Notamacropus eugenii: one gene and its partner. The protein of the gene in region 1 purifies or fractionates together with the protein of each later gene. This does not show direct contact. Links are inferred from orthologs where the notes say so. Each region holds a gene or a part of one and is shown in the gene's direction. Other genes may lie near its edges. The genes, in order: PTPRU and GOLIM4.

What was found.
Region 2: the proteins of PTPRU (region 1) and GOLIM4 purify together in Homo sapiens (affinity purification with mass spectrometry; 3 studies listed by BioGRID and IntAct, counting the BioPlex papers as one, with this or other methods). This does not show direct contact. The link is inferred for Notamacropus eugenii from reciprocal best matches to the Homo sapiens genes PTPRU and GOLIM4.

What each region holds. Positions count from the first base shown.
Region 1 is NC_092876.1:70,423,070-70,431,118, forward strand, and holds the start of PTPRU (receptor-type tyrosine-protein phosphatase U), read left to right. Parts: upstream 1-5,016; 5' UTR 5,017-5,132; coding exon 5,133-5,205; intron 5,206-8,049.
Region 2 is NC_092877.1:356,331,909-356,339,350, forward strand, and holds the start of GOLIM4 (Golgi integral membrane protein 4), read left to right. Parts: upstream 1-4,417; 5' UTR 4,418-4,871; coding exon 4,872-5,058; intron 5,059-7,442. UniProt on the Homo sapiens protein: Plays a role in endosome to Golgi protein trafficking; mediates protein transport along the late endosome-bypass pathway from the early endosome to the Golgi.

The sequences.
Region 1 (8,049 bases):
CTCTAGCAGAGTAGAAACAGCTTGGTTTAGTACAAAGTTGGCAAGGTTAATTAGTTAAAATGAATGGTGCCAGGGTGGATAGAGTGCTGGACTTGGACTCAAGAAGAAGTGAATTAAAATCCTGCTTCAGACACTTACTAGCTGTGTGACCCTGGGCAAGTCACTTAACTTCTCAGTTTTTGTTCCTTCATCTGTAAAATGGGTATGATATAATAGTCCCTACCTCACAGTGTTATTGTGGGGAGTTTCTCTCTCTCTCTCTCTCTCCTCTCCCTCTCTCCCCACTTTCTCTCTCCATGTTGTCTCCCCTGATAGAATATAAGCTCTTTGAAGGCAGGGACTGTTTTTGTACCCCCAATGGCTAGCACCATACCTGGCATGTAGTAGTCACTGAATAAAAATTAATTAATTGATGGATGGATTGCTAACCCATTGCCATGGTACTCTGGCTTAGCCCATGCTGCCTCTGATCTCCTCCTAGGACAGTCCCAGAAGCAACTTTCTTGTGTCCTGGCATCTCTCCCCCTAACAAACAAACTGAATTGATGGTACAAAGTTTATCTGGGGTTATGTTTATGTTACTGGTCCCAGCCATGTTTTGTACTCTTGTCTCAGACATGAAAATTACCTCTGTATCCCCAATTGCATCAGTGTGGTTATGGCCCCGGCTTGAACCCTAGTAGCTTCTGTCTTGCTGTGCTACTTTGGAAAAGTCACCTTTCCTGAGCCTTGGAAGTATGGATAATCCTACTCCCTAAGGGGGGGACAAATAGTACAATGATCATATAGGCACTTGAAGCTTTTTGGGAAAAGTTCCATGGGGAGGTGAGAGGTTTTCTTTTCTTGCAGCATTATAGTATAACTAATAGTGCAGCCTTACATCACGGTGGTCCTTTACAGGATTCAAAGCATTTTCACCTACAGTAGTAGCTCATTGGATTAGCTGAAGTGGTATTGCCTGGAGATTTCTGACATCGGTGCTTTCCCACTGGGAAGGATGTGGGCTCTTGGGAAGGAGTAAACAGAGACAAGAACTCAGCGCTGTTCAAGCACCCCAGCAGAGGGCCTTTGAATGGCCCCTCACAAAGGGACCCAGGGGATAGGAAGCAGTGCTGATCTTGTTATCCCTGCTTTACAGATGAGTTTGATGGAGTTTGTCTAGGCCAAAGCCATGTTTATGTATCAGCACCAGGAGAGGTTAAGGGTCTTCTGGCCCACAGCTACAGGTTGTTGTTTGTTTTTCATTTTTAAGAGGTCCAATGACATCATGGGGTGATGTCTTGATTTGTGAATAAATTAGATTTAAGTGAGGCAGAGTTGCACGAAATTGCCAGCCTGACTAGCTCTTCCAGAATCATCAAAGTCCAGGGTCACACAGGGTCACACAGCTGGACAAAAGTCATTGATTGGTGACGGCCTGGGATGCAGTGGATGACCTTGGCACATAACACCTGCTTCAACTGCTTTCATGGTCATTGGAACAAACTGTTCTCATCCGCCCATTCCACTGAAGTTTTGGGGTAGACATCCCCCTAATTCACTGGGTGGTTTTGGAGGCCCATCAATTACCTTCAATTTAGTCTAGTCTGTCTTCCCAGAGGTTTACCTGGGTGTGTCCAATGAGTATACTACAGCTTCTTGGAGCCACTGGTGAGAGCTAGGTGAAGGTGGACACCAAAGGTGGATGAGCAGTCCTGAAAAGGGTATGCCCTCATGCCAGAGGTGCTGGTCCTCCTGAACACCCCTCCCCTCAACTCCATAGCCCACAGTTACATAATTAGTAAATGGCAGAAGGTGGGGCAGGGCTGAGGTAGGGAGGGGGAAGAGTGCCTCCAAACCAGGTCTTCTTACTTCCAGTACTACATGAAAATTAGAGCTATCCCAGAGAGCAATGGGCTGCCTTGGGAGGTAAGGATAATAGTATTTGTATAGTGTAGGAGTGGGGAACCTGTGGCCTCAAGGTCACATGTGGTCCTCTAGGTTCTCAAGTGCAGCCAGAATTCAGTCAAGGACTGCAGGCTCCCCAATCCTGAAGGGCTTTAAGGTTTGTAAACCACTTTATATAAACCTTATGATAACCCTGTGACTAGGTGCTATCTTACTGATGAGGAAACTGAAGCAAATGGAGATACCTTGCCAGGAGACCCATAGGTAGTAAATATCTGAGGTAGGATTTGAATTCAGATCTTCCTGACTCCCAAGTCCCACATTGTGCCCATCACAGGCAAGAGGCTGGATGACTTTTTTTGGGGGTTGTTGTGTGTGTGTGTGTAGTATGGACTAGAAGTGTTCAGAGGTCAATTCAATTCAGCAAGCCTTAATGAAGTGCTTGCTGTATACTAGACACCAGGAGATAACAAATACAAAAATGACAGTCTTTATCCTCACATTCCTTCTAGTGGAGGGAATCAACATGGAAATAGAGAAATATAAACACAACGGATGCAAAATAATTAGTTTTTGGAGGTGGGAGGTGGAGGGGTAGCACCAGCAACTGGAGGAATCAACAAAAGCCTTTTTTAGGACTTGATATCTGAGCCCAGGCTTGAAGGGAGCTAGGGGTTCCAAGAGGCAGAGGTGAGGAAGGAGAACATAGTTTGGGCAAAGGTGTAGAGGTGGGAGAAGGAATACTATTTTCTGGTTAAGAGAAACAATAGGAGTAAACAAAAGTCCTTGGAAAATACCTAAAGAAAAAAATCATTCTTAAAAAAACCAGACAAATAAGAATGACAGATTAGGGAGCCTCAGATATGCCAATTTGGCTGGAACTTAGAGCTAATGAGGGTAAGGAGTATTGTTCCCTTCTAAAGCTACTCTAAGATTTTGAGACTCTACACAGTACCGTACACTGTCTCTAATGCCCTAGACTCTTTGCCTTAAGGAGGCCAGAAACCAAGGGCTCTGGACATTAGGCCCCTCTCCAAGGCCTTTGCCCTGGGCACTAGTGGCTTGAATTCCATACAGAGGTATCTAGAGAATACTAACCGCAGTTCAAGTAAACAGTCAGTTGCCTGAGGGACTGCTAGGACTCTAGCGTCCTGCAGAGGGAGACACCACTGATTGTAGACTGTTGAAGGAATCATAGGCTTTAAAGCTGGAAGGAATCTTAGAAAGCATTCAGTGCAAGCTTTTCATTTCATCGGTGAGGAAACTGCAGGCCAGAGACTTTGTGAATTTCCCAAGATCTCAAAGACAGCAGCAAAGAGCAGTCACTTTCTCTTAGTAGGGTAGAGAGATTATCAGGAGGGCTATGGATGGTTAGCAACTGCCTGGAGTGTAGCACAGGAATACATGTATATGTGTGTGTCTGTATATATGTATACAGACACAAACCACATATACATATATATATACACATACACATATATACACATATATATGTATGATATATGTATATGTACATATATGCATGCAGTATTTGCAATTCCAAAAAATTATTATTATTTTTGTCAAGGGAATTTCCCCTGCTCTCCTCAAGCACCAGGGCATAGTAGAAAAAAAAATGATGGTTTTGAAATCTCAGAATTTGTGTTCAAAGTCTTACTTTCACTTTCTACCTGTGGGGACCCTGGGTCTTAGTTTATTCAACTATAAAATGAGGGGATTGGACTAGCTGACCTTTAATACCCCTTCCAACTCTAAGTCTATGATCTTACATATTGTGTGATCAATCAAATCCCATACATTTTTGGGGAAAGTGTAAAGCTTCCATCCTGAATATATCCTTTATGTACCTAGTCCTTTGCATGCTACTTCCCCCACTGGACTATGAGCTTCTTGAGAGTGGGGTCTGTTTTGGCTTTTTTTTGTATCTTCAGCTCTTAGCAAAATACCTGGCACACAGTATGTGATTAATAAATGTTTGTTGACTGATCACATGCATATTTGAGGGAAGATGGAAAGGATATTTGAGTCAAGATGCCTGAATTCCAGTTTTTAACTGTCCTTGGCTGTGGGACTTTGGGCAAGTCATTTCCTCTTCTCTGAGGTTTAGATTCTCCATCTATAAAGTGATGTGTCTGAGTATAAGATCAATAATGTTTGACATTGTATTTTAACATTTTATATACTAAGTCTCCTTACAATTTTAATGTTATGTGCTTTAAGGTTCCTAGATATGCCATTTTATGGCTCCTATTTTATGGCTAGGTTACTCCTAGCTCTGCCATTCTAAGTTCTAAGGGGTCTTCCAGCTCTGACATTCTCCATTCTAACATTCTGTCTAGTTTTAACCTTCTGTGTTCTAAGATCTCTCCTAGCTCCGACATCCTGTGTTCTAAGATCCCTCTCAGATCTGACATTCTACAGTCTAAAGGCCCTTCCAGTTCTAACATTTTAAGGTTTAAGATCCCCTTTAGTATCTGCCATTTCATGATTCTTTGACGTTTACTTGAATGGGAACCTTATGGTCCTCAGGGCCTTGTGTATGATCTGACAGGTCTGACAGGTGACTGTTTATATTCTTCTACTAGGGTATAAGGCTCTCTGAATTTGTGTAGGGTTGAAAGTATGTGTATGAGTGAGTGGTTTGTGGAAGGCTGCTTTCCTAGGTGTGCTGTAGAATACGTGTTTGAATGTGCCAAGAGGATAGACCCGGTAAAAGGGGCTGCGGAGGGACCAGCTTCAGGTCCTGGTGCTGGTCGCATGGGACAGTGATCCCAGGGTTGAGTGCCTCAGTGACCCAGAAGGGAGAGTGTGTACAAAACCAAGAGTCTAATGGGATTCCGGACATTTTAACTGACCGGACTGGAGAACGGTGGGCGCACCAGCGGCTTAGGATGCCCCCGTATCGGTGCCGTTCTGTTGTTCCCAGTTCCGTGGCCCTAGCGGTGATTCGGGGGTCGCGGCCCTCCCCCTCTCACTTCCCTGCGGGTTGTGGGGTTCGCAGTCCCTGCCCAGCTTCTCCAGACCTCCGCACTTCCACACAAGGACCGGCAGGAGGCGCCCCCCACCTTTGGAACGCGAGGCCGCTGCTCGGGCTCCTGACGTCAGGGCTCCGGCTCCGGCTCCAGCGCCCGCTCCGGACTCAGTGCCAGTCCCGGCTCCGCTCCGGCTCCGGCGGCTCGGGAGGCTCCGGGGTTCCGGTCTACGCTCCTTCCCCGTGGCCCCGGGGCCCTCGAGGGTGGCGCACGATGACCGGCGCCCAGGCGCTCATCCTGGCGCTCACCTTCCAGCTCTGCGCGCTGGAAAGCGAGACTCCCACAGGTAAGAGAACTGGATCCCCCCCCCCCCCCGCCGGGACTCCCCACCCCCTCCCCGGGGGCCCCGCTTCCCGAACCCCAACTTGTGACCCGGGACCCCAAGCTGGGGACCCTTGGACCCGTGCACCTTGGGGCAGATAGGGCTGCGCAGCAAGGAAGTATGTGTGAGTGTTGTATGTGTCTGTGTGTGCGTGCTGAGACTGTGTGTCTGTGTGTGTCTCTGTGTGTGTCTGTGTTTGTGTGCGCGCAAAATGGTCAAACAACTTGTTTGTGCTACGCCCTGGGCTCCTGGGGGCCCGGGGCTCGGGCCAGGAGGGCAGCTTGGCCTGGAGGGGGTGTCGGCCGGCCGCTGACACCGACATGTTGTGGGTTGCTTTCTGTTGTTTCGCAAGTTCGGAGCGGCTCGCTCCGGAGACGGAGTCGAGCTTCGGTCAGCGCCCCGGGGCTCCCGGTCCATCGGTTTACACTGGCGGGGGGAGCTGGCGGGAACGTAGAAAGGGAATCTGGCCGGGCCTGGGGGCTGGAGGGAGGAGCCGGGCCGGAGGTGGGGGGAAGAGAGAGCCGAGGGGAACTGGGGAGGGGGGAGGGGGAGGGGGGAGAAGGAGGGAAGGAGAGAGGGAAAAGGAAGGAGGGAGTGGAGACGGGAAGAGAAGGCAGAGGGCAGCGAGAATGGGCAGAGAAAGGAGAAGGAAGAAAGGGTCGGGGAGAAAAGAGAGAGCGAGTCAGGAAAGGGGGACCTGGGAGCCAGAGACATCTCGGAGGAAGGCGGAGATGGGGAGAATCGAACAGACCGCAGAGGAGAGAGGAGGCACTCGGGGGAGAGCGGAGCTACTGTGGCCTGGCTGGGGCTGGTGGGGAGTGGGGGGTGGAGAAGGCTCTCAGTTGGGACTCAGGAGGGAGAGCCCGTTGGGAAGCCTCCGAGCTCGCCCGGCCTGGGAGAAGAGCAGCCGGGGTTGGGAGCAGGTTTCACCCGGGGGCACGTCGGCAAGTGCCTGCTTTGGCCATCTCTCCCCCCTCTTTGTCCTCCTGTCCCCTCTCGGTGATGCCCGCTCCTAGGAGGGAACAGCCTCAAGGAGAGGTCAGACTGGGCAGCGGATCCCTAGGGACCCTTACCCCCGCCGACTTCGTAACTTTGTACCCGGGTCTTTCCGCAATCCGGCACAGGTTGTGTCTGAGTGTGCCCGTGTGCGTGTCCGTGTGCTTGTCTCTGCGTGTCCCTCTGTCTAAGTGGCTCCTGTGCCTCTGTCCGTCCGTCTGTGTGACCCGTTCTTTATCTGTGTCGCCTTTCTGTCTGTTGTTTCCGTCCATCTGAGCGTGCCCTGTGTCTGTCTGTGCCCGTGTGTTTCGAAGTGTGTCCATTTCACAGTGGGTGTAGCGTGAGCCCAGTATGTGAGAGTGTGTGTGTGTGTGTGTGTGTGTGTGTGTGTGTGTGCGTGTGCGTGCTTGCTTGAGTGCGTCCGTCTAGTCCATGCCAGTGTGTGTCTGCCAGTGCACGATGGGGGGAGGGACACCAACCACGCCGGTCCTCTTCTCCCGGCCTGGGAGCACTTGGTCTCTTAACCCGGTGGAAGTGGAGGAGCGGGGGCGGGTGTGCCAAAAGGTGATGGCTCCGTCCCCCTCCAGTAACAACGCAGGTTCGCAGAGGGCCATCATGACCACGTCTTCCTCCCCTTTCGGGCTCCCGGGCCCCTGTTTTCCACAGCAGTTTGACTTAGGGGGCCCTGAGGCCTCTAGTGCCGCGCCCCGCGTCTGAGCTCAGCCTGGAGAGCCGAGGACTGACTTGGAGGCTGAAGGAAGGGAGCAGACTGCACCTTGTAACCTGGGGGAGGCCTGGATGATGGGGAGGGAGCTCCTAGAAGGGTTATCCCGGGATGATTCCTGGAGGGGCAGAGGTCACTGCAGCCCTGACCCTCGGCTGGGGTGGCCTCTGGATGTCTCCAAACTCCGCTGGAGAGATTTCTTTCCGCTCCGGTTTGGTGGCCCCCACCTCAAACCCAGACTGTCTGGCGCCTTCCTGTCGCCCATCACAACAGGACTCTGTCGAGATCTGAACTCGAAGAGCTGAATTCCAGTTTGGGTTTCCCAGGATGGCCAGTAACCTTTTGGGCCTAAGAAGGGGAGGTAGCTCCCAGCTGCTCCTATGACCCCCTTGGGGGCTCTATGGTTTCTCCGGAAAATAGATTCCCCCCATCAGCCAGTTTAATGTCCTGTATCCTGGAAAGGGGGATCCTTCTAAAGGACCCTGGATGGGGGTGGGGAGCAGGATCTCTTTCCTTTATTTGGGCAAGTCATGAATTTTCATTGGCCACCTTTCTGTGTACCTCTCCCCTCCCCGATCTTAGTTCCCACCCCACCCCCCAGGGTGGGGCCCTGATCACAGCCTTCTCTAAACCCCTCCTGATTAATAGAAGGTTCAGTCCAACTCCATGAACTGAGGTCATTTGTGCTGGGGGAAGGGAGCTTTGGGTCCTCATAACTGAGCTCTGTATGGTCCTGGGCTCTGAAGCGGAGAGGGAGGGGACCGGTGGCAAGGGAGTGGTGGGATAGCATTTCCTACTTTCCCTCTTCACCAGGTCTGGACTGGGGAGGAGAATGTTTAGAACTCCCGCTGTTCCAAGGACTGGGGTAAAAATGGTCGAGGTTGGGATAATAGACTGGGTTGTCTCAGGAGGCAGAGAGCTAACCCATCAGAGTCCAAGCTGGATGCCCACTGGCTTGGGATTTCTGCATAGATAAAAGCCCAATTCCCTGACCTCTGAGGACCCCTGACTTCTTTGAGATAGTGTACATCCTGATTCCTGGGGTCAGTGTAGACATCTCAGCCCTTGGGTGCCTAGAAACAGACTTT
Region 2 (7,442 bases), on another chromosome or scaffold:
TGGGTGGAGGTAGATCCTTTGTAGGTCAGGGTTAGGGGTGGTCTCTGTGTAGAGACAGTCCAGTGACATGATGTCACTCAGTCCCTCATTGGAGTGAGTCTACCTCTATTGCAATATTCATTCTCTCATTAATTGTCAACCAATCAGAGTTGATTGTCATCCTCAAGAACACTCACTCTTCCAAGGGCATATAAACTGCGAGCCCACCACCATAAGGGGTCTTTGGCATTTGAGAGAACCACTAAACTCTTTTATTAATAAAATGCTAGCATTATTTTTTGTTGCTTTTTTTTTTTTTTTACCACCAGCCAATCTGGGTTAAGTGATTTGCCCAGGGTCACACAGCTAGTAAGTATCAAGTGTCTCAGACTAGATTTGCATTCAGGTCCTCCTGACTCCAGGGTCAGTGCTCCATCCACTGCATCACCTAGCTGACCAATTGCCAGCATTATTCATTTAATAATTAATTATGCAGAAATTTTGCCTCTCAAACTTTTTAAACATCACAAAACATGCATAAGTATATACACATATGTATACACACATACATATACACATATTTTGTACATATATACACACATGTATGTATATACATACATACAAATAGAAGGGGATCTTGGCATCTGGGGGAATCAGGAAAAGTTTACAGAAAATAAGTTAAAATTCTTTATTTTTAAATAGAAGACTTATTGAGGATAAGATCTTTCTACCATCAAATTGTCATTTAAAAATATAAGATAAAGTCTTGTGGTTTTAACTGGTTTACCAGGTTGGTGAAAATGCTACACTTTTTCATAAAAAATACCACAGCCACAAATACCACAGACAGTGACTAGAGTTCTGATTTCATCACCAGTTGATGGGTAACCTTGGCAGGTCCTTTAACCTGTAGACCTGGTTCCTCACTTGTTCAGTTGAGGGTATCACTCTTCTGCCAGATTCCCATGTTTGCAAATTGAAAGTCATCCTTGACCCTTCCCTCTCTCTCTCTCTCATTCCTTTCCCACATCCAATCAGTTTGACAAGCCTTATTAATTCTCTGTTTATCTCTACTGAATTTGTTCATTTTCCTCCTCTATTAAGTCTTTGACCTCATGCAGAACTGGATCATCTCTCACCTAACCTATTTCAATGGCATCCTGACTGGTCTTCCTGCTTCCAGTCTCTTCCCTTTCCAATTCCCTCTTCCACACTGCTGCCAAAAGAAACTTCTCAAAGTTCAAAGATGCTGCCACAGTTGCCTATTGTCTCTAGAATAACATGCAAACATAGCCATTGGTATTTTCAAACCCAGTCCAGCTCCAGCTTACACTTCCAAATTATTTTGTTTCTCCACTTCATCCACTCTACATTTCAGACAAAAAGGTCATGCTGTGCCAGTTCTCCTACATTCTATCTCTTGTAAGAGACTGCCTCTGTACCTGGAAAGCTCTTCCTCTTCAGTCTACTGACTTCCTTCAAAGCTTAACTTGGGTGCTATCTTATACACAAGCATTTTCCTGATCTAAATCTGGGCCCAATTACTAGCACACGTGGCTAATAAATTTTTGTTAATTGATTGATTCTTCTGATTATTATTGCTCCCCCTCTCTTGAGATAACTTTAATGTTATTTTACACTTACCTGTTCAAATGTAGTCTCCTGTAAAGCACTATGTAAGCTCTTCGAAGTCAGACTGGTTTTCTTTTTTTTTTGGTCTTTTAATCTCTAGCATCTAGCAAAGCGCTTTGTACGTAGTCCTCCCAAATTCCTTCCTTTATAAAGAGAGCAGAAAATAGACTCTCAATTTATTTCTCTTTGTATCTGCTGCCCTACCTGGTTTCAACTCCATCCCTCCCAGAGTAAACTCATCACTTCTAATCTCATCCCCATGTGGCTAACTCTACTTGATTAATTTTCAGCCTTCTGATTGGAGGGCAGAGTTCCAAACTTCTCCCAATTCTTTCCTTTATAAAGGGCAGAAATTGGGCTTCTCAACTTTGACTTCATTCAGGACTATATCATCTCTCACCTTGCCTATTTCAATAGTATCCTGATTGGCCTTTGCATCTCCACTTGGCATCTGCTTCTCTCCCTGGTTTCAACTCCACAGGACAAAATGCTCCGGCACCAGGTACCCCCTAAAATTCAGTCCCTACCTTCCTCCCACCTCCTTTTGTGTGTCTCTCCCTTTAGACTGTAAGGTCCTTGAGGACAAGATCTAGCTTTCTTTTTATTGTTGCATCCCCAGTACTTAGCACAGTGCCAGGCATGTGGTTGGTTGCTGTCCGCCCTTCTCAGAGGACCAAAATTACATCACTATGCTAGAATCAAGTTTCAGTGTGTTCAACTGTGACTAATCAAAGCGATACAAGCTCAGAATGCTCTACCACAGGTCAGGCACAAATAATTCGTGTGAACATTTGGTGGGAGAGAGGTTCTCTAAATTTATGCCAACCCTGACTGCACCAGGCAATGTTTAGCAGCCAGATGGCACAGTGGATAGAGCATTAGGTTGGAATCAGAAAGACTCCTCTTCCTGAGTTCAAATCCAGCACTTACCAGCTGTGTGACCCTGGGCAAATCCCATAACCTTATTTACTTCAGTTTCCTCATCTGTAAAATGAGCTGGAAAAAGAAACAGTAAACCACTCCAGCATCTTACCCAAGAAAATTGCAGCTGGGGTCACCGAGTCAGACACAACTTACCAATGATAACAAATTGCCTTTATGCTCTAAAAAGATTCCTAGTGCTCGCTACAATGACAAACAGTAAAATCCTGCCAGAATGTCATAAAAATGATGGGGCATATAATGAATATCACTATTAATAAGGAAGCATCTGGGAAATAGCTTACTTTTCTTAGAATTCAGGTCAAGGACAGAAATATAATTATCATTTTATAGGTGCGCATAACCTGAATTCCCCCCCTCAAGTATCCATCTCAAAATATGCCTGCACTGCAGATTTGCTTTTCTTTTTGAAGTAGAGAATGTTTCCCAGTTTTGCTAATAAGTTTCAATTATTTTACCTAGACACTCCTTGCCTTTTACAAGGTAATTTGCAAATGTTGCTTTTTCATAACTTGGTTTTTTTGCCACCAATAAAATAGATAAGACGAAAGGAATGCAAACTCATTTCAGCCTAGGAAGTTTGTTTTTAAAATTGTTCTACTGAGGGTGGGGGAACAAGAGCTCAATTTTTCCTCCTCTTTGCCACTCACAGGCTGATTTCCAAGCGCCTCTGTAACGGCTGACACTAATTCTGGGCAGACATTCCCATCTGGGGACGCACACACCTAGGAATGTGCCCTGCGTAGGACCCCGTGTGCGTATCTGGTGCCAGGTGCCATCTGAGGATGCTGGTTCGCAGACGTTGCACTTCGCGTGTGGGACTGCAGCATGTCCACCCAGGGCCCTGCATTCCACACCCCACGTCCTCTGTGAACTCGGGGGTGTGCCCCCCGCCCCCTGCTCCTCCTCCCTTCCAGGCTGTGCCCCCCGCCCCCTGCTCCTCCTCCCTTCCAGGCTGTGCCCCCCGCCCCCTGCTCCTCCTCCCTTCCAGGCTGTGCCCCCCGCCCCCTGCTCCTCCTCCCTTCCAGGCTGTGCCCCCCGCCCCCTGCTCCTCCTCCCTTCCAGGGTGTGCCCCCCGCCCCCTGCTCCTCCTCCCTTCCAGGCTGTGCCCCCTGCCCCCTGCTCCTCCTCCCTTCCACACTGCTTCCACCTGGGATGCGCACACTCGCACAGCGGTTCGCGTGTCTCACTTCATGCGGACAGCACACATAACAAACACACAACGCCCCCCCCACAGTCACCACACACGTGCGCAGACTCCCACGCGCGTACCCAGCCAAGTCCCCTCCGCTCCTCCTCCTCCCCACCCCCCGCAGGCTCCACGTGGGCACCCCGCGGACCCCGCCGGCCGCCGCCTCCCCACGCCAGGTAGCCCCTCCGGCCGCGCAGGGGGCGGGCCGCCAGAGCCCTCCGGCCAGACAGACAGAGCGGGCGCCCAATGGAGCCGGGCCCTGCCTCCCCAAAGGGAGGGAGGGGCCGCTCGGACCAGCCCAATGAGCGCAGAGCCGCGCGCGGGACTTCCTCCCGGAATCCCGTTGGCCGGAGGAGCTGGGCTGGTGGGTGACACGTAAGTTGAGTGGGAAGCTGTGGCCCGGCCAGAAGCGGCGCTCCGAGCGGCAGCGAGCCCCCCCCCGAGCCCAGCCAGGCCAGGCCAGCGCAGCCCAGCCCCGCGCAGCCCAGCCCCGCGCAGCCCAGCCCAGCCCAGCCCAGCCCCGCCGCGATGTGCCCGGGCTAAGCCGCCGGCCAGCGCACCGGGGCCAGCCTCTCCTCCCTTTGTCCTACTCTCACCCTCCTTTAGGTGGCAACAAAGTAGCGCCCGAGCCGGAGCAGCCCCGCTGGGAGCCGGCCTGGCGGGACCCGGACCGCTCTGAAGCCCTCGCGCCGGGATCCCGCGGGGCAGGGAAGCGGCTGCCGGCCGCCAGCTCGGCCCCGCCGGGCCAGGGGCACCGGGAGCCCGGGCAGCCCGCCCCGAAGCATGCGAAGGGCCCCCGCGCGGGCGCCGGCACTCGGGAAAAGTTTGCTGCTCCGCGGCTGCCTCGACGAGTTGGAGTTGGAGCGGCCGGGGCGATAGCGCGGGCCACGTCCATGGCAGCCCGCCCGGCGGTGCCCGGGGGCTGAAGCGAGCGCGCGCCGCTGTGCCCCGGGGGTCCTGCCTGGACGGCGCCTGCTCCCTTCTCTCGGACCCGTGCCCGATGCTGCCGCTGCTGCCGGCTGCTGCAGCCCCCTCCTGCGGCGGCTGCAGCTGTTGAGGCGCTCGGGGCGCAGAAGACGAGGAGGAGGAGGAGGAGGAGGAGGCTCGGGGGGCCGAAACGGGGACTATGGGAAACGGGATGTGCTCCCGAAAGCAGAAACGGATCTTCCAGACGCTGCTGCTGCTCACCGTGGTGTTCGGCGTCCTCTACGGGGCCATGCTGTACTACGAGCTGCAGAGCCAGCTGCGCAAAGCCGAGGCGGTGGCGCTCAAGTACCAGCAGCACCAGGAGGCCCTCTCTGCCCAGCTGCAAGGTACCCGGGGGGCCCCCGGGGCGGAGCGGGGCCGGCCCGGGGGGCAGCGCGTGCGAGGAACGCACCCAGACTCCCGCCGGCCGGCACGGGCGCACCCACGCAGCCCGCCATCAAAAGTTGCCTTTCTGCCTCGGGTTTAGGGTTCACTCACCGGTGTGTTGGGAACTGAGGCAGCGCCCTTGACCTCGTGGTGAATATGATGCCAGGATGCCTCCCTGCCCCTTGTACCTGTTAAGCAATAGGACCCACCCCTCCCTGCATCCTTGTGTTTCCAGTAGGTTCTGAGATTGTCATTGGCAGGGCACCACAAAGTCAATCTGAGGGTTATAATGGCATTCTTCTTTTCTTAAAGATCAAGTTAGTTCAAGCCCATTATCTTTCTCAGGCCCAGAGACAGTAAGCAGATTTTAAGTAGACAGTAAGCAGATTTGGGTTTCTGTCCCTGGACAGTCCCTTTGTCACTTACATTATGTCATGATTAGAGAAGGCTAAAGCTGGAAAGGGCCCCAGAGATTATCTGCCCAGCGCCCTCATTTTTCAGATAGAGAAACTGAGGCCTGCAGACATGAAGTGGCTTGACCTACATGCAGTCTGGAAGTGGTCCAGCCAGAATTGAGCCCAGGGGTGGTTAAGTTGAAATCCTCTGGGAGGGAGGAGGTGTTCCCGCAAGTCTTTATCAGTTCCTCTAGCATTTAATACTATGGCATCATGGAAGAGTCGCTTGAGGTCCTGGACTTTTAGTCAGGAAGATGCAGGCTAAAATCTTATTTTCCACGTTTACTAGCTGTCTGACCTTGAGCAAGTCACCTAAACTCTTTGAGTCTCAGTTTCTTTATCTGTAAACTGAGGAGATTGGAGCAGATGGCCTCTTGGATCTCTTCCAATTCTGGAAGAAATGAAACTCTCACTCAGCTATGTGATGAGTATAACGAAACCAAAAGCTGTCCCTGCCTGCCCTCCAGGAGCTTAGAGATGAATTGGTACAGAGATAGGTAGACATACCACATGTACAAATTAAAATACAAAGTAATCAGAAAGAGCACTAACATCTGGTGAAATCCAATATGGTTCCTCCTTGCAGGTTGGAAAGGGAGCCTAGTGGGTTGGATGCAGTGGGAGAGGAAGAGCTTGAGTGCCCATACATAGCAGCACCCTTCCCACCACGCTGTCCACCCAGAACCTGTCAGACGGGACCCAGCATTTTGAAAGTTTCTTTTTGCTTGGATCCAACCAGTGAGAATGAGGAAATTCAGGGACAAGAAAGAGGTCATTGCCCTTTGACTGAAATTGATCCAGCTAGGAATTAAAATTTTCAAAATCATCCCCTGGTCTAAGCAAATGGAGAATTAACTGGAATTAACTGTGACTTGTGCCTCTGGGTTTGTGTTTCCCGTCTGTTTGTCAGTGTAGATGGATTGGAGAGGTTTGGAATGTTTACATTGTATATACCATGTGACACTTAATGACTTGTTTACCTTCACTTACCTTTGGTGCATCCCACATGGCTTATTTTCAAAAATGTTTCTTCTGGACCCAGAGTGCAATTGATCACTTGGCCGAGCCTCAGCAAATCCCAGTCCCAACCAGGCCATAGACTCGCTCAGCTTCTATCTATCAGTATATCTAATGGAAGTGTCAAAATCACATAAATAATTCATGGATTCAAAATAAACACTACGTATGGTAAATAGTGCTAGTGGGAAAGCGTCCTTTAGCCTTTGGAGACTTTGAAAGTCTGAAACTCTAGTTACTTTTTAGCTGTTTCCTACCTGGAGTCACTTTTAAATGTAAGGAGTCTGGGATTTGTAGAGAATCTTTTGACAGAGCCTTTTCTGCAAGATAACTTTCAAATTACCTTCATATACTCTGCCTGTATCTTGTGTGTATCTAGATATTTGCTTGTTTTCTCCCCCATTTGAATGTATGTTTCCTGGGAGCAGAGATTGAGATTATTCTTTTTTTTTTTTTTTAATATCCCCAGTGTTTCAAACAGTACTTGGTACACTTAGTAAAGAGTTTGTTGACTGACTATTGGCTGTCCAGTATACCTTGGGCCAGGACTATTTTCTTTAATGTCCTCATCTCCCCTTCCTGGGGTTTCACGCCAAGTGGTTGCTTAATAAATGTTGGCTTGAGTCTTGTGGAAGATTGTTATGGAGACACATTAAAACAATGCCTCCAGGTCACTTTAGTTCTTCTGGATGCTTTTTCTAATTTAAAAAAAATATAATAAGTCAGAAGAGAAAATTAAACCCACCCCTTTGCCTGTGTGTTTTCTGTGACCAAATTAGAAGAAAGTAAGGTATTTTTAGCAAACAGAAACTTCATAGCTATAGGCACCATCCATCTGTGAGCTGGGCTGGGCCCAGAAAGGATCTTGCTTT